2 linked regions of the Struthio camelus genome follow. The protein of the gene in region 1 interacts with the protein of each later gene in a pairwise test. Links are inferred from orthologs where the notes say so. Each region holds a gene or a part of one and is shown in the gene's direction. Other genes may lie near its edges.

Region 1 (7,942 bases):
AAAGTGCATAGCCTTCTACTGTATCCACTATAGCCTTCTACAGTATCCACCTATAAGGAGCTTGGCTTTTGCAATATGTATGAGCTAATTAACTCTGTTATATAAGTAATAAGATAATTCTGAATAAACTGAGACTTGTTGATCATCATCGGATGTGCTTGTCTCCCGTTGTTCTCCGACAAGACTGCAGCTTTACACTAACGGAGAACAGAACTACTGTGCCACTTGTACCAGTGACCCCTAGGAGAACTTGCAGCCTTCACAGCTACCGGACAGGACTCCTGAACTGTTATCAGGCTCTTTATTTATAGCAAAGGAGAGGCAGAGAATTCTACCAAAGGGAAGTGTCTGCAGAGACCATGTTTCTTTTTCTTATTTCCTCTAACCTAGGCTAATTGATTCTTGCGTCTACACAAAGATACCCTGACTCCAGAGAATGTCAACCAACATATTTGTTGATTCCTTCCCTCTGTCATTGAGGAACGCAGCCAAAAGGAGTGTTTCTGCTCTTCCTTGCCCATGTACTAGATCCAGTTATCAGGTGACCTCAGGATGAGTTGGATCACCTTACTGATCAGATGGAAGTGAATTGAGAGGTTTGTTGATTTATTTTCTATCAGATGAGCAAGCAGATTCAGTTCTCCCTGGGCTTTAATATTACCAGGGGGGTAAAAGAAGCTCGCCTTTCGGGATGGGGCAAAAAGGAACCCGCTCTTCAAAAGCAGCTCCCGTACTAGAATGTGCAACATAAAGCTGCACCCTCAGTGATGGTCTTTTCTTGCAATGTTAAACTTTATATTGTCTTGCTCATTAAATAGCATAAAAAGTTAAAAGTTATAGGCTCCATGAAATAACTTCCTCCTATTTGATTCACACTGACCGAAGACGGAGAATCAACCTTGGCAAACACAAAGCTGTGAACAGGTTTCAGGTGAGGACTGCAGTCCACTCTCAGTTTCAGACGCTACTGGCTTTGTCAAATGCTTTGCTTAGCCTTTTTTAAGTTTGTCTCATCATACGTTCATTGTCTCTTTGGGAGAGGTGTGGGTGGATTCACTGAGTCTGTTCAATGAATGCTCTCCCAATGGTGGCTTTTAATTAATCCTAGTTAAAGGGATGTATTGTTTTGTGGGCAGGGTTCCTTTGCCCCTGGAATTTTAAATATTTTGATTCTGTACACATTATTCATCTGAGATTTTTTTTTCAACTTAACATCAGTAAAATTTGTGCTTTTATGTCTTCCCTTGACCCCAAGAGAGTTGCTAGGAAATCTCCTGTCCTGGAGAGGTGAAAAGGAAGAAAAAAAGATAGGTGGGAATGGAAAACCTTGGGAAAGAGCTCAGAGGAGGCAGGTTTTAACTTTATCCCAGACTCTCAGGGGATGGCTGACAAATACACTGGTGGGAGGGCTCTCCTCTTATCCCAGACACACATAAAAAGCAATAACAATTTGCTTCACATGCTGCATCCACTTCCCATGAGTGACAACAGCAGCAACACATATATGAGCAGATATATCTGCCATACATGCAAAAGGTAGTGTACAGTTGTTTCAATGATGGCCACTGCTTGAACGTCCTAGTCCTCATCTCTTCTGCAAAAAGCTAGTGTTGGCCAGATGGGAGTATCTGAACGGATTTCACTGCGTCTTACTCAACTACTAAATCAGTTTCAAATTTGTACTCATTGGTTCATTTTTAAAATAAAAGGAATTATATGAAAGGTAAAATATGTAATACTTTAAATAATACAAAGAGTTGTTATGGGCACTTTCAAAACAGAGTTTCATTCCTCTTAGTGGAGACATAAGTGTACCTTTTTGTAAATAATGATTTTAAATATTTTTAAATAATTAATAATAATATAATACTCTTTAAAAATGCTCAGGCATTTATCTGACTGTAGAAAAATTGTGCTTAGTGAACTTTGGGAAAACCTAATGTGTGATTTGTTTTTATCAAACTTTCACACTAAGTTTGAGGCAAAAGTTTTAACTATGGATCCAAAAGCAGTCTTCAGAAAGAAAAGCTGTTAACCTCAGTAGCACCAGCCTGTGCAAATGATGCAAATATGTTTTCACTCATGCTATTTGCAATTCATGAACTCCATTCCACAAAATGATAAAACCCAGGGCTCCTAGATATCAATGTGAGTTCATGGTGCATGGCATCTTGCAGGATTAATTCCGGCAAATACAGTTGTAATGTGTCCTCCATATGTTCCAAAACTACTAATATCAGATTTTATTCAATGACTGTTCAACGTAAGAGATATAAGAGTCCTTGAACAATGGAGTAGAACCAAGATTTTCCATCATTCTCTGGATGAGCTTCCTGTTCATGAGACTAGCAAGTCATGTTACCTCCAGATAGCCCATTAATTGTATTTGCAAAGTATGACTTCAGCAGGGAGAGGAGGTGCATCTTCAGGGTGGTAGGATAGTCTCAGCTTCAGAATACCTTATAGCTATGAGCTAAAGCATTTTCCTGGGAAGAGTGACATGGATCTAAAAACCCTTTCTCCTTCTAGCTGAAGAGGTTTGCTTGGTTCTCGGGGATGACAGAAACTAATTCCTTGTAATTCCTTGTTAGGCATAGCCCGAATGCACCTAGTTCATCAGGCCTCTGTGGGAGATCTCTGCAGAGGAACGTCTTGCCTGGGAATCCAGCTAGGCTTTGACACATTTAGGCTCTTGGTGTTACCGGGATGGCAACAATTCTAAACATACGCAAAACAGAAACGAGGCTGCAAGGAAAGGTACTGGCAAAATTCAGTTGCCTAAGGAAGAAGCTTGGCAAAGCACATGCTGGGATTAAGCAGGATTTATGCAGCCAAATCCAACTTCAAATGCCTAACTGATTTTATGGATCTGAGCCAATATAGGTCTAGCTGTGCTGTATGTCCTTCTCTGCTAAAGAAGAAAACTGACTCTGCATGGTGGAAGGTATACACTGTTCTCAAGATCGTAAGCATTTGCTCTGGCTATGACGCACGAGGAAGAAACGAGCAGGGTATAACTACCTCAGGAGCCCAAAATGCATGTGGTTTCCCCCATGCTGTTGCCAGGCAGCTTTCCACAGCCCGTCAGTGGGAGCCATTATTCACTTTTACTCATCATCTAAAGGCTCTTGCTCTTAGAAGGGAAGGGAGCTGTTTATAGGATAACTTGTGCTTTCTCTATTATATCTTTTCCAGGTAGTCTATAAATCTCAGATGCTGTCAGTGGTAAGTGAAAATGAGGAGTATTGTTGGACAGAGAGGAACTCTTATCTTACATCCAGTTACAAAAAGATAACTAAATTTGCTCTCATGTTCGCTGCTTTCCAGGTCTGAAATATCTTGTGTAGGTCAACTGTGTTCTAAGGCTTTGCCCACAAAGCCTTGGTGAGGACTAAGTCACATAGTAACTTGTTTTGTTGTACTTCATTTTTCAGAAGATGTGCATAATGGGGAGCAAGTGGAGGACAGCTGCTGTGCAGAATACCGTCAGCTGTGAATTTCAAATTTTTTGGTGGATACAGGACTAGTAACAGATTTCCCAGGTTTACCCTCATTTAGAATGTGGTTTTGTAAGGGAAGCTTCCCTTAGAAAGGTGATGGCCACAGCAGTTTCAATAATTTACATTTGTGTTTGTAACTCTAATTAAGGGTGTGCATAGCTATGTATAAATGCACATTCAATCAGATTATTCATGTGAATAAAAGCCTGTCATATCCTTGGTATCTTTTAGAGGAAAGGCAGTCAGTTCAAGAAATGGTGTTGCTTATATCAAAAGAAAACCATGGCATCTCTTTACTCTTGCTTCTGAAGTCTACATGTTCACATGGGAAATAAAAAAAATCCTGAAGCTGAGAGTACAAGAAGAGCGTACACACCCCTGGAGGAAATTCGACAAAAGTTTTAATTTCCTGTAGCAATGCGTGTCTTTTAGAGACCCAACGGGAGATTAACAGCTATGGTGTCTCACATTTGTACTTTAAAACGCTGAGATTTGCGATGCATGTAAGCACTTCCGCGGGGGAAGGCAGGGCCCGCCGATGGTCAAGAAACTGATCCCAGATTCAAGAAGTGCGGGATTCATTTCCTGCAGAGATGAAGTGCTTTTTTTTTTTTTTCCTCTCTCTCTCGCTCTCTCCCTTTTGGCTTTACCTCTGGATCTGCTAAACAGACATGCCTGTGTCAGTCCCCGCTGCAAGGTCTCGGGGCGGGGGGGGGGGGAAGGAGGCGGGAACCACCCGACCTTCCCCCACGACAAGCAGCGCCCCCCTCGCGGGCCGCGACCGTTACGGAGCGCGACCGTTACGGAGCGCGCCCGCCCTCCCCGCCCGGCTCGCGCCCCTGGCACGACCGTTGCCGCTCGGGCCCCGGCTGCAGCCCGCGCCTTCCTTGCGGCTGCCTCCGCCGCGCGGGACGGTCCGGCCAGCCGCCGAGGGACTCGGCTTCCCCCGCGAGGGCCCGGGGGGGTTGGAGGGATGCTGCCCGGCGCGGCCCCTTCCCTCCCCTCCCCTGCCCGAGCTCCAGGTCCTCCCCGCCGCCTGCCGCCCGCCCCGCCCCAACGGCCGGCGCCGTGCCGAGCGGCGGCGCTGGAGCAGGCGGCGCGCCCCCGCGGGCACCGAGCCCGGCAGCTGCGCGCGCCCCCGTCGGCGGGCGGGGCGGGGCGGGGCCGGGGCCGGGGGCGGGGCAGTGAGAGGGGCCTCGCCACTCCCGCCGCGCTCGGCTCCCTCCCCCTTCCCCAAGGTGCTGGCCGCGGCGGCGACGGGGACGCGCTCGCTCGTGCCCGCGGCCCTCCCTCCCTCCCTCCCTCCCTCCCCGCCCGCCCGTTCCCCTCCGCTCTCCCCGGCTGCGCGGGTGGCGGCGGCTCGGCCATGGCGGCGCCGGCGGAGCTGAGCGTGGAGCGGTTGCGGGCGCTGCCCGGCAGCTGGAGTTATGGGATCAGCCAGGGCGGCCGCGTCTTCTTCATCAAGTGAGTGCGGGGCCGGCGAGGAGGGGAGCGGAGCGGAGCGGGGCCGGGCGGGGCGTGCGGGGGGAGGCGGTGGCGGTGGCGCCGTGCCGTGCCTGCCTGACTCGGTCCGTGTGTGTGTGTGTGTCCCCGCAGCGAGGAGGCGAAGAGCACGACCTGGCTGCACCCGCTCACCGGAGAGGCCGTGATTACCGGGCACCGCCGCAGCGCAGGTAAGAGCCGCGCCCGGGGACCGAGGGGCGGCTTGGGCGGGCAGGCGGGAGCCCCCGGCTCGGCCCGACCCGGCCCGGCCCGGCTCGGCTCGGCCGCCTCCTCCCCCGCCGCTCTCCCCGGGGGCTCGCCGGGCCCGGCGGCCTCGTCGCCTCCCGCCACGGGTCCCTGTCCGCCCGGCGGGAGCCCCCTGGCGCTGGCAGTGCCGGCAGCCGCTGGCCCCCCGCGCCCCGAGCCCGCCTTCGTGCCACTGCGGTCACCCCGGGCAACTCCGCATCCCGCTTTTCCCGCTGTCCCCTCACTTCTCGCAGTTGTTTGTCCATGGGTTGAGCAAGAATGAAGTGACGGTGCAGCCTTGCGTGTCTGGCTGGGCATTAATGTGTTCCTCATCTCTTTCTTAAAATGATTTCCTTTCCCCCCTGTGCTGTGTAGTCTCTTCTTTTTCTGTTGCTCTTTTCTGGTTGCCTTATATCACCCCGATAATGTTGTGTCGTTGCCATTAGAAGCTCCTTATTTCTCTCATGCTTTTTACAGGTTACCCAGGTTATTCACCTACACAGCATCCTTTCTCATTTCAGCTTTAAACCACGCATTTTAATTCTGTTTCCAGCAATATGTAGATATAACCATGATAGGTATATTAGAGATGAGCAGGCTGATTCCACTAAGCGTAGTCACCTAGAAACCTTCTTCCTCTCTCTACTTCCATCTAGGCTGAGAGTGTGGGTGGTTTCTAAGTGACTGAGAGAGGTGGAATAGGTAGGAGGAAAAGAGACTGGAACGTTAGGAATAACTTGGAGGAGGGTGGAATCAGTTGTCTTTGCTACTGCTGTTTGTTCCAGTCTGGAGAAGTAGCAGCAGGAGGTGCTGGAGGAGGAGGAGGATTTACAGCAGACACTCCGGAGACCCAGAGCTAGACTCCGACTGCTGGAGCTGCACACAGGCTGCCTATGCCACTGGGAGGTGGTGGAGCATAGTTATAAGTGCAGTTGTTTCTGTGTGTGTAATCACTTGGATAATCACAGGAAAATCTGCAACTGACTATATCAGATGATTTACTTTTTACATTTGGTTAATACTTATGCATAAAGAAATTATAAACAGTCTTTTAGAAAACTGTGGGCATCTTTCGTTTGTGAGGTGAGAACAGTTTGAAGAGCATAGATTTCTGGCTATTGCAACTTTACAATTTTATCTGCAGTGAAGGGCTGTAGCTTGTAAAAAGTCATTGAAAGCCAGGAAATAGAACTACTGATTGGGATTAGGCTCTTCTTTTCCCTTTTTTTTTCCCTCAGATTAATTGAGCAGCTGTCCTTCATCTTCAATGATAGGCATGGGGGCAGATGTATGTTAGGTGCTTTGCTTGCTGGACATTAACATTAGCTGTGTATTCATTTCTCTTTCAAGTTGGTACCACTGGCTCTGCTGGCTGATGGTTATTTCTCAGTAATTTTCTAAATCTCTTATTCATTCCTGGCACTAAGTGCCTTTGAAAGGAAATACAGTTAGGAGGGTTATTATCAAGTACATTAAACTTAGCTCCGAACACTGAGTGAGGTATGACCTTATATGTACTGATAATGATTTGTAGATCGGACATTGAAGCATCTACCAAACAAACCCATTTCTGTTTTTTTCCTCTTTCATGTGTATGTTAATTAATCTCCCAATATAATCTAACAGATTAATTCTGGGCTTTATATCTTGTTTTATTCTGGCCATTGTTTTGGAACCTAGTCAAAATATGTTTATATCAAGAGAAATTTGGAATGAATAATGCTTCTTTTGAAAATGTATATTATTATAAGGCTCTTTATTAAATAATACTATGAGTATTTACTGGACTATGTGGAAAGCTTTGTCGTCCTTTTAGAACTGAAGTGCTTCTCATTCTTTGAGATATTCCGTCCTAGAAAGGTATTCTTTCTGCAAAGTTCATATAGCAGTCATAAATACTTCTGCTAGAGAGACTTCCTGTTTGCTGTACTTTGTCCTGTGCTGCTACCAAAAGACACCTTGATTTCCTCCCTCCCCACTCCCCTTTTAGAGAAGATAGCAGTGAAATAAAAAAGGCAGCCAGAGCAAATCAGTAAACCAGAAAAATCACATAGTCCAGACTGAGTAGTTTTCCCCTTTTAAGTGGGGAAATATATTGTTGCTTTTATAATTAGGTGAGTGAGTCCTACATATGAATTACTGTTTTTTATGAACTGAGACACACTTTTAAAGGCAGTGATGTGTCCAGCATCTTCAGAGCTTCCATTACTTCGGGAATCTGTTAACTGAAAGTAACAAACCATTGGTTTCTTCCATGGAGATTTATTTCTTTTATAGGTGAGCTCCTGACTCTTAAGACTGGTACTCAGCAGAGAAGGAAAAAAAGTGTACACACTTCCTCCACCAGCTTTGCAGTGAAAATAATTTTCATATAAAATTGAATAGAGTTGTAAACGCTTCAGGAACACTTGTTAGTCACATCAGTGGTGGAATTACGGCTAGTACAAGATAGCTTTGTGGTGTAGTTGGTATCATGCGTGTTAAGATGCTTGTGACTTGCATGTAACGTAAACTCAGTAAATTGGTTATGTTTAGATCTCTGTATCTATCAAGTAATTTGATGCTACTGAAATTTGAAGCAGAAGGAACTGATGATGATCATAATTTCTAATTACTGGTCAAAGGAAGGAACATTGTTAAACAAGGACACGCTTAAAACCTTATTGTTGTTTTTACTTGAGACGGAGAAATTCAAATCAGGTTTTCATCATGTT
Region 2 (8,296 bases), on another chromosome or scaffold:
ACATTTGATATTTTCAGATATCTGAAACACTGAGAAGTCTAGCTTTTGGTAGCAATTTATTTAACTATTGGAAAACAAACAAATAAAAAAAATCCATTAAGTTGCGTTATTATGGCTATGCCCATATTACAATATTAAGACTAAGCTATAGAAAAGATCATCGCAAAGACTGAAAAATAAGTACTATAAAGAACAGAGATGCAGACTAAGAAATCAAACCACAAAGGTATGAAGAGCACAGTTAAGGCACAGACAGCCTGAGCTTCTTTCTGGCTGTGATATCCTCCAGTAAGTGGCTACAATCAGGATAAAATAACAGGCCCTGTTTCCAGGCTAAACTTCTCAACTTCTTTCTCCCTATCACAAAAGTTGCACTAAATTTAAGATGTTTCCTCCCATCACAGAGGAACTGCAAGAGTGGGACTTATGTGAGCGCCTCTCTCCGTGCAATTGTAACCTAAGAGTACAGAAAAGGTCTAGCTACAGTGAGAAGAGCAATGAAATCAAAAAATACAATCACATTGTCAGCAGCAGCCTCCCACTTCAGAATGCGGCTGTATGGCTTCCAGTATTTTTTTTTTAATACTTTGTTATTTAAAACAAACTGTAGATTTAGGCTTCAACCGTTATCTGGATCTCACCTTGCAGCAGTCTCGTTAACTTTGAGTCTCTGTAGGGGACAAAACCACCCTTTTTATTTTCATCACCAAGAGCACTAATTACATTCCCCAGGCAGAGAAGACCTCTGTTAATATTGATACCTGCAAACAAACAGACGACAATGAGTAGAGCTACCTCAATAGCTAGAAATTGGTTATTTCCTTGAGTTTTATAAAACGCAAAAAGGTAAAAAATGCATTATACTTAAAGAAACTGCTTTGCTTCTTCTAACAAGAACTCCATGTACAAGCTCAAAAGCAGTAAGAAACACAAGCTATACCTGTTCTTCATCTACTGACCTTCTTTTAGTCGGTCTCCCTCAGCCTTGGTCTTCTTTTGTCTCTCAGATCCAGCAAGATCAACCAGGTGTAGCTTGGAGCGAAAACTGCTGTTCCTGTGGCAGAAATAGAATATTTTACTCTCTCAGGTAAACATGCAGCTAGGAACAGAGCAGTCTGGCGGTTAGTACAGTTGAGCTACTGGGCTGAAAAGTGCCGTTCAAAATAAAGGAACAGCAAATAAAGGAACTACCTCAACTGTAGCTGAGCTGAGTTCATCTAAGACTAAGAGAACAACAGACTATGAAATTTGCAGTAAGCCTGACTCCTAACTGCTGCTAGGAGTAGCAGCGCTGTCACACTTACTTGTCATTTTTCTTCTTCTGATCAACGGAAATGGTGAAGATGGCATGTGACCGGGAGGACTGGGAGTTCATTGCTGTGGAGGCCACCGTTCTGGAATTGTTTCCTTGCTCTAGGCAGGATACAGTGTCTTGGGCACAGGCGACGCTTCTTTCTGTTAACCCTATAATCTGTATCCGGGAAGAAAGTATCATTTATCCTCTCTTTCCTCTTCACCCCTAATTTACTGCTTCACAAAAATTCTCTCATCTCAGACTACAGCTATTGAAATGAAGTCTCTGAACATACACATTCGCACAAAGCTAAGTCTCACTTTAGGGGAGAGGGTTAGTATGGATCCCCCAGCAAAAATTTGTTCTGAACTTCACGTCAGTAACTTGTAAATTACATCACCTCTTTCTCATCTCACTCCGGCATGCACACACCAAGCTCTTCTACGCCTGATAGACAGCTGGGCAATGGGTTGGACACAGGACTCCTCAGTACTCCACAGAGGAGCCCATAACAGTCCTCGGATATCCTCTGGCCCAGCTGGTAGCACAGCATGCATCTGGGGACTGAAAGTTGTGCCAACCCCAGGCAGAGGAAAGGGAGACTGATTGATGGGGGTGGGGGAATTGGAGAAAAAGAGTAAAAGGCAGGCAGGTATTAGGGACATAAAGGACAGAAGGGACTGAGTAGTAGGGACTGGTCTTTGTTCTTGGTAAGACTGAGCTTTCCCCAAATGGCCTGTCTCCCTGGAAAGCGATGCCGCTACTAACAGCTTAATTACCAAACAAGCACGCAGAGCAAGCAGCAGCATGAGGTTTTTCTGCATTACACTATAAACACACTTCTACAGGAAACTGTTAAAAGAATGAGTTAGTCATTTGAATAGTTTCTGTCAGGATCCTTTTGTTACACATCACTTGGCCAAACTGAAGAGCACAACTGCAACAGTGTAATTGGCTTAGAGGACATGAAGTACATTCCCAGATACTCACCTAAATCAGTCTCAAGAAGAGCCAAAAGACTTGCAAATGCCTTTGTAATGAATATCTAACATCTTCTCTACATTTTGAGAAACATTAAATGCTCACCAACAGGTCAATTTTGAGAAGAGCTAGCAGTTGTGGTGATTTTATAGGCATATGTTTATAAAGTGAGCAGTGCGAGAACAGTCCTCAAGAAGACAGACAACTGTTTTATTGAAACATTTGTCCCTAGCCATACCGCTTATGCGCCCGTTACATATCCATTTCTAACAGGACAACAGACCTTTATTCCTTCTTTAGGATCTTCCCGGATACTGATTTGAGAAGACCGTTCTCTAGATGGGCAGAGCAGGTCTAGAATATCTTCGTTGTAGATCTGAAAAGATCAGAACAGCAGCTCAGACTTAGCAGCCTTGCAAGAAAAGAGCTTGCATAAAGAACGATGTACAACTAGGCTCAGATCAGGGCTAGCTTTGCATGAGACTGTACCATTTTACCTTTAGTGAGAGGTAAACAGGATTTAGAATTCAGATGCTGAAGATAAGACCTTATATGATCTTAAGTTTTGATTTCACAAACTCCTAATACCTGAAGGAGGCAGCTTCATTAAGGCTCACTTTGTTTACAACTCACAACTCTGTAATATTTTGAAAAAAATCAAAACAACTTTTACCTCTAAATAGGAGACTTTGAGGACGAACTCCCAATCCTGCCTCTGCTCCTTTTCTTTAAATAGCAGTTTGATTACCCGAGGGATAACCCCCACGCTAGGCTCATGCTCTTGATTGGCAGTGTAGGTACCTCCCATGGAGTACGTTTTTCCAGATCCTGTCTGTCCGTAGGCTAACACAGTAGCATTATACCCTTCAGAAATAAAGAAGGCCTAGATCAGAAAGTCAGGTGGAAACGAGCAGAAACTTTGACAAATTAAGTGGCATTCCAGTAAAAGCATCCTTCCAAAAAAGGACTGCCACTCACCATCAGTTTACACAGCCTTGACCCACAGGTCACAGTTAACAACATCAAGGGAGAAAGCCAATGAAAAACACCCCAAAGCATAGATAATTTTATCTATCTATCTATCTATCTTTTTAAGGACAGCTCTGTTGCTTTAACTAGAGAGGGTCGTAGATATTCTGTCATTCCAACTCCACTCCAGCACCAGTAATGCTTTCCAGTATAGGATGCTTATCAGCTCATCATGTTATTCTTAATAAATCTCTCCTGCCTTAACATCTTCAAGAACCAAAAATGACCCAATGAACATGAATATGTCATCTTGAGAGCCCAAGGGAAGCCTACAGCTTGTAAACAGGCAAGATCTGGCACTTCTCACCCCAGGCTGGAGCCAGTGCCTAGAGAACAAAGAATTTTAGTTTCTGGGAAGATGCAAGAAGAAAGGACTCAGAACGGAGAGCTAAACAGCCTCTTCTTTCACACATCTGAACCCACTAGGACTCCCAGTGCTTTAAAACAGAGTCGGAATTCAGTTATTACAAACCTTTGAAGATGCCCCGTATGAGAGGGGCAACGGCCGTGTTGAACACCTCCTCTTGCTCAACAGAAGGATCAAACACGTAGTCATATGTGAATGATTTATCGTTGCCTACAATCACCTACAAAGGAGATGTAAGCGAACAGCATTGACTGCACTGCTGTGGTAACCAGAGGCTGCATTCAGCATGGAAATACATAGGTGTATATAACTATATAGAGATATCTAGAGGTACGTATATGTGGTTACACGCAAGGCTGACTCTTCAAGCACAGCAGGCCGGCTCCCTTACCTGCGGCTCCCCCGGAACGAAGGAAAGGCACATCTGGCACCCTTCATCCGTCTCCTTCGGCACCAAGGGCCGGCAGCGCAGCGCCACGCGCACGGGGATCACCTTGTCATCTTCTCTCACCATTTTCAGTTACGCGGGCTGCCCTGAGGACGAGCAGAGCGGGGTCAGGCTCCCCCAGGAGCAGCGCCCGCCGCTGCTCCTGCGACAGTGGCACGGCCCCCTCAGCGTCGGGCCGCATGAGGCCTAGCGCTGAGGCGCGGGAGCCCCGCTACGAGCCCCGCAGCCTCCCGACCGCAGCGCTAGGCCCAGACTCCCTAGGGGAGCCGGGGAAGGAGGGAGGGGGGGAGATCCGCAGCCCTCCCCGCACCCCGCGCAGCCGAGCCCCGGGGCCGCCTCACGGCGCCGGCCCGCACCCACCTGCCGCCGCCGGCCGTTGGGATGGCGGCGCCGCAACGGTCAACATTCAAACCGGCGGCGGCGCGGGGCGCCCGCCAATGGCAGCGCGGGGCGTCACGGCGCGCGCGCGCGGGGCGGGGCGGGGCGGGGCGAGCGCGGCGCGGGGCGGGTGACGCAGCGCGGGCGCTGAGGCGGCGCGGCAGCATGGAGGCGCGGCTGCCCTACGACGACTACCCGGTGGTCTTCCTGCCGCCCTACGAGAGCCCGCCCGCCTGGGTGCCGCCGCACGAGGTGAGCCCGGGCGGGCGGGCGGGCGGGCGACGGGCTCGGGCCCCCGGCGGCGGCTGGGGGCCCGCGGCCGCTCACGGCGCCTTGTCTTGCAGCGGGTTTATCACCCCGACTACAACAACGAGCTGACGCAGTTCTTGCCCCGCACCATCGTCCTCAAGAAGCCCCCCGGGGCGCAGGTGAGCCTCCCTCCGCTTTTTCCCCCCCCCCCTCCTCTTCCCTGTGCCTGGCCAAAACGGGGGGACCCGCGGAGGAGCGAGAGGATGGCAGCGGCCGACTGAGGCCGAAGGCAGCCCCAGGAGGTCAGAGAGGCACCGCTGCTTTCCTGCTCTTACTACTTCGGGGCGGGGAGGGGAGGGGGAAGCCTTGCTGCTGCCCTTCTGGGAAGGGCTGTGCTGTAAAGGGTGGGGGGGAGCTTGGTGGGTTAGGCAAAGAACTGCAATAACTTGTGACATGGAGCCACTCAGGGACAGGGAGCAGGGGCAAGCCCTCAAGGTGGGATGGCCGTAGAGGTCCGCGGAGAGGGACTGTGCTTGCAGCTCCCTAGGCGATCACTACAGCTGTTAACACCTTTGGTCCATCTAGAAGAGATGCATGAGCAAAGGGGGGTGGTTACACTTCACTGCTAACCTGGTTTCTCGTACAGCTGGGCTTCAACATCCGAGGAGGAAAGGCCTCGCAGCTGGGGATCTTCATCTCTAAGGTGTGTCTGTCCTTCCGCCATTCCCTCCCCATGTTCCGTCTGTTCCCTTGGGGGTTGCAGAGCCGGCTGGGCGTGTATGGAGACTGACCTGCCTCTTGCACGCACAGCTCAGCTGTGAGCTTCTACTTGCCAACAAGGAGATGATCTCACACCCTTTCCTTTCCTGTCCCCGACCCATGACTTGCTGGTGCAGTGCAGTCCTCATGCTCTCTCCATCCCCTCCTAGACTCATGTATAAGTGCACTGGGCACAGGCACTGTGGAGAGGCTCTCTGGGGCTGGGATGTGTGCTGAGGGGAGCCGCAGAGGGTCAGTGCTGCTGTGTCTGCTCCTCAGGTGATCCCCGACTCAGATGCACATAGAGCTGGGCTGCAGGAAGGGGACCAGGTACTTTCAGTGAACGATGTGGATTTCCAGGACATTGAGCACAGCAAGGTGAGTGCTCCTGCTCTCCAGCTGCTGGAGCAGGGACAGGGCTTGGCCCAGGCCCCAGCATGCTCTCACCTCCTGAGCAGGAGAACAAAGGCAATGCATGAGCCTACCTTCTCCTTCGGCCCTCTCAGCCTGCACCAACTCAGGACCTAAATGGCAACCTGTCACCATTGTCTAACAGTTAGGATGAGTGTGAGGCAAGCACCTAGATACCTTCGTTGACAACATCAGTAATCCTTTCTCTGTAATTCCCATCCCACACACCCCATATGTAGATCAGGGAAAATAATTCACAACACAAAGGGCATATATCTAATTTTAAAGAAAACACCCTTGCTGATGAGGAAGAGCAGAGGAACATTAACCTGGGGGGCCACAAGTCCCAGTGTTCCTCCGGAACTCTGATATCAGACCCTGTGCAAAGCAAGCTGATGCACTGCATAGCTAATACATTGCTCTTACCTGTCCTCTCACTCAGTCTGGTCACTGAGCAACTCTTTTTGCTTTCAGGCTGTGGAGATCCTGAAGACTGCCCGTGAAATCACCATGCGCGTACGTTACTTCCCCTACAGTAAGTGCCTGCTAGCTTTTGAGTGCAGTGGGCCAGCTGTATTTCTCCCTGGGAAGCAGGCTGTCATGCATCCTTGCCAATTCCACATAAACTTAGCTATTTTGAGTCTAAAGTCATATGCAGCATCAAACTAGCAGCCTGCAAATCAGAAAGGGGGTTAAATTTTGATTTGGGGTTGAGGACAGCTACCCAATCAAAACAGTAAGGAAGGGCTTCAGCTACCCACCTGCAAACTTGTAGAGTAGGGCTGAGCAAAGCAATGCTAAAAGCTGGGATGACTGCTTAGGAAAGTGTTAATTTTGGAGCTGCAGAAGGAGCTACTTATCCTTAAATAACACAGGAATTGGTTCAGTCACTAGTAGAACCATGCTGATGGTGGACACCGCTTGTAGTTTTATCCCTTTCTATGAATGTTTAAATTTTGTCAGAGGGAATGACCAAATTATTAACTCCAGGTTTCTGCACCTATAAAGCTTGGCAGTAGGCAGAGGGAGCAGGAAAAAAGTCAAGTCGTCAAGCCAAACAAGCATTCTTCATAAAAATGGAAATTGACCCTTGAATGAAAGTGAAAAGAGTAAAAGTGTGGAGCAAGGGAAGAGAGGACTTTAAAAAACACTTTTCTTATAAATGCTTTAAAAAAACTTGAAATGACGGGGGGAGATGTCAGCATACTATTTTAAAGCCAGCTGCTATCCAGGAGAGTAGCAAGCACTGCATCTATTTAAGAAGGCGTACACAGAATTCATGTTTTCCTCTAGCATTTTGGCTAACTTCCCCCACCATCCGTGACCACTTCTCCTGCCCTTTCAGCCTTGCTCTCTCTTTACCTTCCAGATTATCAGAGACAGAAGGAAAGAACTGTTCACTAGTGAACAGCTGCCTGCTGGGGCCTCTCTGGAGTGGCTGTCCTGCAAGAGCCTCCACTAACCTTTCCTCAATATCCAAGATGACACATCAAGTCTCAGCTGTCACTGGAGGTACGACTGTCCTGTTGGCTGCACAGGCATCAGTTCTGCTTCCTGCTTGGAGCGACACTACAGAGTCTTAATTATCTGGAAGATGAATGGGGCTTTAGTCTGCACTCCTTGAATTAGTTTTTAAAACAAGCTGCTGGTGCTGACATGGAAGTGGGTACTGGAGGGCAGCTTTCTCTTGCAAAATCTGTATTTCTAATCTAGTAGGACTTATTTTCAAAGCGTGCTCTGCTGGTTCTGGATCCAGCCCTTGTTTCTAAGGTGTGAGGCCAAGAATGTCCAAGCGTGCTCAAGCAGAGCATGGCTGTAGTTTCCAAGGGATCAGCTGGTTCGTTTCCTTTCCGGTGACACAAAATCCTTTCCCTCTCCAGTGTCCAAGCTCTGCTCTAGACTACTGGGTTTGCTGGGCATTCAAGGAAGAAGAGTAAAATCCAGTCACACTCAAAGCATATCTATAGCGGTTCTGCACTGCTCTGCCAAGGCATTGTGTTTGTACTACTTTGGTGCTTAGCAGCCCCCACATAACTGGGCCAAGATGCTTGGAGCATGTTTCTAGGCTGTCTGCTGTCAGCACTTGGTGAGGTTCCTTCTGATGCACTGCTTGTGTGTTTAAGGGTTTCACCTGCTGCAGCTGCCCCCTTCACTTAGTACAGCCTTGTCTGTGCCTTTCACAATCACAACTCCCTGCCACATGGGGGGGAAATTCATACTCCTCCCTTTCCCTGCTCCTTACACATCTTATCTCCTGCTGGGGTGATTCACCCACCTGCTATTGAGTTTGGTTGGATGGTGGCTGTTCCACACAGAAAAGAAAAAGGCTGCTGCGCTCTTTGCTGGAAGAGCACAGATGAAAGAATATACTAGCTATCAG

The links.
Region 2: the proteins of PLEKHA5 (region 1) and PDZD11 interact in binary tests that used the Homo sapiens proteins (3 or more experiments, as listed by UniProt). The two-hybrid records come from large-scale screens. The link is inferred for Struthio camelus from reciprocal best matches to the Homo sapiens genes PLEKHA5 and PDZD11.

Annotation. Positions count from the first base shown.
Region 1 is NC_090942.1:73,290,989-73,298,930, forward strand, and holds the start of PLEKHA5 (pleckstrin homology domain-containing family A member 5), read left to right. Parts: upstream 1-4,678; 5' UTR 4,679-4,866; coding exon 4,867-4,964; intron 4,965-5,096; coding exon 5,097-5,173; intron 5,174-7,942.
Region 2 is NC_090952.1:27,506,097-27,514,392, forward strand, and holds the start of PDZD11 (PDZ domain-containing protein 11), read left to right. Parts: upstream 1-4,600; 5' UTR 4,601-4,662; coding exon 4,663-4,749; intron 4,750-4,841; coding exon 4,842-4,925; intron 4,926-5,392; coding exon 5,393-5,449; intron 5,450-5,784; coding exon 5,785-5,883; intron 5,884-6,390; coding exon 6,391-6,451; intron 6,452-7,285; coding exon 7,286-7,320; 3' UTR 7,321-8,296. Other genes in the region: chromosome-associated kinesin KIF4A, read right to left, coding at 642-761, 960-1,054, 1,305-1,471, 2,559-2,651, 2,949-3,139, 3,777-3,891, 4,063-4,185. UniProt on the Homo sapiens protein: Mediates docking of ADAM10 to zonula adherens by interacting with PLEKHA7 which is required for PLEKHA7 to interact with the ADAM10-binding protein TSPAN33.